Danio rerio: one gene and its partner. The protein of the gene in region 2 purifies or fractionates together with the protein of the main gene of each other region. This does not show direct contact. Links are inferred from orthologs where the notes say so. Each region holds a gene or a part of one and is shown on either strand. Other genes may lie near its edges.

What was found.
Region 1: the proteins of marchf6 (region 2) and sqleb purify together in Homo sapiens (affinity purification with western blotting; 4 studies listed by BioGRID and IntAct, with this or other methods). This does not show direct contact. The link is inferred for Danio rerio from reciprocal best matches to the Homo sapiens genes MARCHF6 and SQLE.

The regions. Positions count from the first base shown.
Region 1 is NC_133194.1:8,354,325-8,358,081, forward strand, and holds the start of sqleb (squalene monooxygenase), read left to right. Parts: upstream 1-1,233; 5' UTR 1,234-1,274; coding exon of another isoform or gene 1,275-1,313; 5' UTR 1,314-1,321; coding exon 1,322-1,419; intron 1,420-1,613; coding exon of another isoform or gene 1,614-1,618; coding exon 1,619-1,830; intron 1,831-1,903; coding exon 1,904-2,075; exon of another isoform or gene 2,076-2,159; coding exon 2,160-2,256; exon of another isoform or gene 2,257-3,757. UniProt on the Homo sapiens protein: Catalyzes the stereospecific oxidation of squalene to (S)-2,3-epoxysqualene, and is considered to be a rate-limiting enzyme in steroid biosynthesis.
Region 2 is NC_133177.1:33,459,493-33,463,149, reverse strand, and holds part of marchf6 (E3 ubiquitin-protein ligase MARCHF6), read right to left. Parts: intron 3,084-3,657; coding exon 2,940-3,083; intron 2,854-2,939; coding exon 2,781-2,853; coding exon of another isoform or gene 2,754-2,780; intron 2,575-2,753; coding exon 2,406-2,574; intron 469-2,405; coding exon 276-468; intron 1-275. UniProt on the Homo sapiens protein: Endoplasmic reticulum membrane-associated E3 ubiquitin ligase that plays a critical role in mitigating endoplasmic reticulum stress, the regulation of cholesterol and lipid homeostasis, and ferroptosis.

The DNA.
Region 1 (3,757 bases), on a different chromosome or scaffold from region 2:
GCGGCTATCGTGAGCCCCATGTTACTTTAAGGTTAATAGAGGAAGAGATAAACTTGTTGATATCCAATGACCCTATAGCACGTCAACTCAATATGCAGGCTGATATCACAAAGTACTTCCAGCGCTCTGTAGACTTCTCAAGATCACCAATACACGACTGTGTTGCAGACTTGCAGACAAAACTGGACCGTTTAATAGAAAGCCAGAAAAATTAGAAGACATTTTAATAAACAGATTTGACACCATAATTGTAAGTTTGCATGTTGTTTATTATTGTCGATTATGATTTACTTTCTCGTGTGAATTGATATTGTTTTGAGTTATTCAAATTAGTTTCTGTCATGATTTGCTGTGAGCTAAAACTAAACCAAAGATAAATCTGTATCTTGCATGGTTTGTTTTTTTTAGTTAATAAATGAATACAAAAAGGCCTGAGAGCTTTCTTTCTTAAAAACAACAACAACAAAAATTAAACAATTAAAAGAAGCATTTAATTTTAGTATGAAAAGGGTTTAAGAATCTAACATTTTTTAAATTATAAAAGTCACTTGTAGAATGTAAAGATTCGACAAATGTTTAAAGGATAGTTCACCCAAAATTGAAAAATTGCCAACTTTCCTTATACTACTTCATGACTTTCTTTCCTAAGTTGAACACAGAAGATATTTGAAATATGTTGGTTTGCTACCACCAATTGACTTCCATTGTAGAGGAAAAATACTTTTGAAATCAGTGGGTCCCACTAATATTTAAAAAATATATATTAATTTATGTTCAACATAAAAAAAAACTCATGAGGGAGAATAAAAAATGAAGTAATTTTTAATTTTGGGTGAACTATCCTTTTGTGGAACCTTCCATTCCACAAGTGTTCTCAAGAAAGAAACTAAATTTGAAGTGAAGTGTGATTAAAAGACAGAATTTCATCATTGGGTGAATTATTCCTTTAAATTTTCTTTTTGGAACGTTCGATGCCAATTTAATAATAATAATAATAATAATAATAATAATAATAATAATGTGTTTCCCAATACATTTCTCAGAATAAAGTAGGTCTTTTATACAAGAAACTCTAGACATCTTTTTCTTTCTCAGTCTTTTTTTGAATGGCGCCCTCTCGAACATATTCATAACCAGGGATTATCTTCAAAAATATATGAATAACAAATAAATCCAGTCAGCTGGGCGCAAGTCTCTGATCTAACCGTACAGTGATGCGATTGGATGGCTGACGGAGTGGGCGGAGTTATCTGACTCTCTAAGCTCGTCATGTAATGTTCTGTCAGACAGTGGAGGTCAGCTCACATCCCTCGGTAAATAAATGACATGCTTTCAACACTCCATCGATACAGGTGCAGCAACGTCTATGATTATGCTCATAAAATGTCCATGCTCATCTCAAGTTCACGACATTTTAAGGTATGACTTTTGAGTGATTCTGTGTGTTCATTAATGGTGCTTGACAGTGACCTACATTTAGACGTTTGGTCTGTCTTACCGTCAGAAAGTTCCCCTAACCATAGTAGGCTTATAATTGATTTTAATTGAATACTTTTTATACATTATCTTTTATATTTACAGACCAAGATGTATTTATTCTTACCTATGCACAGAACAGCACCTCCAGCTCAGGAGATGTTGATGCTCCAGATGTCCCTGATGTCATCATTGTAGGGGCCGGGGTTTTGGGCTCCTCACTGGCATCAGTTCTTGGTCAAGATGGACGAAAGGTTACAGTGATTGAGAGGAGTCTGAGAGAGCCGGACAGAATAGTTGGTGAACTGCTTCAACCTGGTGGATATCGTGCACTCATAGAATTAGGCCTGGAGAGTGAGTTTCTTTTTGATCATCCAGTCACCATGCTTCAGTTTCCATTCTGAGCCATGATCCCTCTTTCCTATAGAGTCGGTAGAGGGGTTGAATGCACAGATTGTGAATGGTTATATCATCCATGACACTGAAAGCAGGATGGTTGTGGAGATTCCTTACTCTGAAGATCAGGATCAGTGTGGAAGAGCTTTCCATCATGGCCGCTTCATCATGGGGCTGCGCAGAGCTGCACTGGCAGAGCCAAAGTACCACAAACACATGGTGTGTTCAAAATTCATATTTTTGTAATTATGCATTTTAAATGACATATTTACCTGGTATTTTTTGAGTGTGAGGTTCATTGAAGGCACGGTGACATATCTTGAAGAAGAAAATGGCTGTGTTAAAGGAGTCCAGTACAAGGATAAGGATTCTGGGAAAATACAGGTTAGTCAAAAAAAGATCATGTTTATAGCTAAAAAAAGATTAACACAAAATGTCTAATGCTGCCTAATAAAAAAATGTCAAATTCTATACTAAAAAGCAATCATTTGACTTTACTTGGATAGTTGTTACATTGGTCACACTTTATCATAAGGTTTTATTAGTTCATGTATTTAACTTGAACTATTTATAAACAACACAACTTTCAAACCATTTATTAATCATAATTTAACATTAACGATGCATTGATAAAATCCAAATTCATACTTGTTGACATTAGCTATTGCACAGCGAGTTAACATGAACCAACAATGAATAAATGTATTATCATGAACTAACGTTATCTGACATGAACAAATGCTGTAATAAATGTATTGTTCATTGTCTGTTCATGTTAGTAAATGCATGAACTAAGATTAACTAACACAACCTTATTGTAAAGTGTGACCAATACATTACTCACTGCTTGCACACCCTCAAGTTGTTCAAAATCTTTTTTTTTTCAGTTCAAACTGAAGAAAACATTGACTTCCATAGTAGGAAACACAAATACTATGGAAGTCAATAGTTACAGGTTTCCAACATTTTTCTAAATCACTTCTTTTGTGTTTAACTTGAAAAAAAGAAACTCAAACAGGTCTGTGACAACTGGAAATGCTCGATTTTAGGTGAACTATCCCTCTAAAATGAGTAACCCTGTTGACTTTAATGTAACTAATGGTTTGTAACCAAACTTTGTGCATAGCTATACAAATTAAGTAAACCGTTACAGGTTAGAAAAGTAAAGTAACTAATAATCGCTTTTTACTGTGTATCATGAACTCATCAAAATAGTGTAAAATAGTCTGTGTTACAGTACATTGACATAAGTGGTCAGTTTACCTTATGATGATCAAATATAAATCAAGAAATGTTAATGTAATCTGAAAGATTCTGTCCCTCTATTGAACATATACTGACTCAAATTTTTATGACATTCACAAAGAGGTCACAGAATGAATCTAAATGAATCCAGGCCTTCTGAAGCAACACAATCAGTAATAAACAGATTTATTTTGTATTTTTATTCACATATCAACATGAGCGACCAATTCAATTCAATCATAACTTCTTGACACACAAGAATGAACCTCATTGGTACTTATGTCTCATGCTAGTATGCTTGAGCTTCCATGACTAACCATAACTAAGGACTTTTATAGTGTTTAAATATATTAGATTGCATCATCTTATCAAAATAAAGTTGTAAAATTTCAAAAGTTCCCAATTTTTGTGAAAAATGCTTCTGAAAAAAAGGTTAAAAGTTCAGAAAAGAATTGTTATCTGGTTCAGAAATGTATGAATTGATGGTAGTTTTCATGATGCCTTCACATTAAAACCACAAATGATTATCATTCATTCATTTTCTTGTCGGCTTAGTCCCTTTATTAATCCGGGGTCGCCACAGCGGAATGAACCGCCAACTTATCCAGCAAGTTTTTACGCAGCGGGTGACCTTCCAGCC
Region 2 (3,657 bases):
ACTTATTTCAAGATCAACATAGACAAATACACATTAAATAATAATAACTTCAATAACAACTTCATATTTCAATAAAAGTTAATACAAAATAAAAATATATATACATATACACATTTAAACATTAGATATCATTATAAACATTAGATATTTCAGTTAAATAACTTAAAACTATTCCTAATTACTCCCTTCGAAATTCTAGATTTTTAAAAACATACTCATCCTAAATTTTTGCCCTTTGAGGAGATTCCTAATTAGTTTAAAGTATCATGTTGTACCTTGTGCTCCATTGTTAGCATCTGCCACATCTTCAGCTCCTCCATCATCCTCATCCTCATTATCAAGCTCCATCTCTTCAGCAGGATCAGCGGGGAGGTCAGGAGCCTCAGCAGCTGCAGCGTTTTCTGCTGGAGGTTCAGCCGGAGCTGGCATGGGCTGGTTCTCAGCACCACCATTACCCTGGCCAGGGGCCTGATGGATGAGATATTATATTAATGATAAAGAGAATTGTCCCCTATGACTGAGTCAACTTGTGGTAAAGCACTGGCATGAGAGAAAACTGAATCTGATTCAATCCAAGTGGAAACAAACAGCTATTCTGGTTAGAGAATGGTGTCCAGAGATTCAGGGGATAATGAGGGATTTGAGAATGACAGAAGGTCAGGCAGGCTACTGTGTTGAGCTCAAATCAAAATGATAATTATAGTAGGACGCAAAGTAAACAAAGCGGGTCACGGCGCAACCTCTTTAATTAGTCTCTGAAGAATATCAAGCTTCAGAAAGTTTAGCTGACATACGCAGCAACTAGAGTGTCATTCACACTGTGTATAAAAAAAAAAAAAAGTTGCTGGTGAAAAGGTTTATTAAGGAAGATTAGGCCACCTAAAAAGACTGTTCATTCTTTGGCCAAAAAATATTTTTTTTAATTCTGCACATCACAATAATGTACCAAACAATGATCTGCATGCACAAAAAAGGTTTATTTTCAATGCCATGCCAGTTTCGATGACTATTTACACAAAAATATATATCTAAATTAGCTTATTTCAAGCAAAAAAAAGACAGAATTAACATCACTGACCATGCATGGGTTTATTCTAACAAAAATATTGCTTAAATCGGTTTAAAAAAAAAGGGAATTTGGTTCTTTAGAGTAACACTTCCAGGTTATAACTTTTTACAGTGCAAATTGTATTGCTTTTCCTTTAAATACATTTACTCTATGATATTTAAGCCACTGCAGTCACACTACCATTTGCAATTTCAATTAATTAAACAAATATTCTACTTAATTCAAGATGTGAATGTTTTATTTGCTGAAATACAACAGGTAATACTTTAGTTCAAGTACCAATTCTGACTATTAACAAGTGGCTTCTAGTCCCACCTAGAATCTAAGCATGCAGAAATTCACTGATTTTACAGATTTTTAGCCCATCGTTGAGTCTATTTATGTACTTGTGTAACTTTTTACTTATTCAATTTTGAAATTTATTTCATTAATATTATTGTCAAATATGAAAATGCTCATATGAATTACTTACAATACAGTTTGTAAAGTATATTTTGTGTCTTAGATATTTTATATAAGTGACTTACTTTGTTTACCAATTAATGAACCAAGCTGCATTTGCATTGTAAAGATGAAATAAAAGTTAAAAAGCTACAGTTTTTTTTTTTTTACTTCATATACAAGTTTTTACTTATGATTCTCCCAAAATCTTTCTATATAAATCCACAGATTTTATTTTTCAAAATTCTGAGCAGAAATAGCAAAAAATGGCCTTACTTATTACCTGCCTATTATTAAGATACTGGCTGTTTAATAGAACATTTACACATTCTGCATGATCTTATTCTATATGTTAAACTACTTTAGCTTAAACTACTTTAATTTAACTACTATACATAAGCAGCAAATTAAGTGTTTATTGAAGCATAGTAAATGGTTTCTTAACAGCAGGAATTGTGCTGTAAAATATAGTATAAAAAAAAGATATGCACAAAATATAAATTGTGTTTAACACCATGCGATGCTTCTATGGCTTTTTTTCATGGCGAGTAAAATTAAGAAGCAAAATGGTTTCTGGAACACCAATTCAGCATAATAAAATGATGAAAGATCTTATGACACTGAAAACTGAAGTAATTCAGCTCTGCTTTGATGACGAGACTTCTTTTAAAGCCAATTTCAAACTTTTGCTGAAAGGTTTAAAGCTAGTAAATTAATGTAGCAATAACAAAGTAAAAGAAACTGTACAATAATAATAAAACAATTTGTTTAAATACTTAATCTAACAACTCAACTTTAATAGCTTGTCTATTAGACAATCTAAGTCCGTTTAAATTTGAAGCTGATCTGCATTCAGTCTGACGAAAGGAGGCGTTACACTGCATTGATATTTTACCTCATTGGGCGGTCCTGCGGCATTGGCAGGTTGCTGCTGGTTCTGCTCCAACCATAAAGGGGCTCCACCGTGAACAATCTGCTCCCGCAGCCACACCAGACTGATGAAGGCGCAGAGGGTGCAGGTCACCACAAAGCAGCCCTGCAGGCAGTCGGCCAACAAGTTCTCTCTGCAGAGGACGAGGATTCACTTATCATCACTACAGAAATATCTAACCATTACAATTCACCACGCAACCACATGTCCACAGCTAAACCCGGGACTGCAGTGAGGATTGAAATAACCCCTCATGGCCAGAGTTCACAATGAGCTGATCTGCAACGTAAATGAATATTTTAAGGAGAAAACCTGAGAGCTGTCCTGTCTGGTACGTACGTGGAGAGCATGTCTAATGGCAGAGTCAGGAGCGAGCTTACAGATCCAGTGAACAGACACTTATAGATGCGACCTGCAGGAAAAGGTGAACATTATATGAGTAACACAGCATGCAATGCACAAAACACAGATAGACTGCGGCTTTTCAGCATCACTTACATGCTGTTAATGGTACAACCCCCAGCCAAGCAAAGGCAACAAGCGTGTAATGAAACCAGTATCGGATTGCTGTGCCTATACTGGTGACCAGTCCTGCGAAAATGTCCTGCACTGGGAGCCGTGAAGGCATGTCTGGAGAGTAGACTGAAATGAGAAGAGAAAAGGACTTAGAATTAATCACAGGTGAACATTTTAGTAAGAAAAGTGTAACATTCAGTATTGAGAACTGGGGATTTTCGATTTAAGATGCTCAAGATCCTTCGCAAACTACTGGAGTGCAGACTTATTAGGATTATCGAGTTATTTTCACAGTTGTTCAATGTGTATCTTGCTATCAAATCATGGCTCTGAAATGGCACAAGCCGTAACTCTACAAATAGAAACACGGAAGAGGCAGAAGCGTCTCAATTATCTCATCAAAGACCTCAGAATCAAAGCAACAATTACTGTCTGCATAAACACAGATGGGAAGCAAACAAACTGTTGACAATAGTGACTAATGCTGGGTTCACACAAATGCGGAGCACCAGGTTGCTTGCTCTAGTTTGTTTTTCACCTAATTTTCCACTTGAGTTGAATTATTTTAAACATGAATGTCACAGATTCTCATAACTCGCTCTGTCCGATCGACATTTGTCTATGTTTGCATGTTTACATTGATGTAATCTATTCTCATGAATACTTCATTTTGCTTTCGGGTGGTAACCCAGCAAAAGAT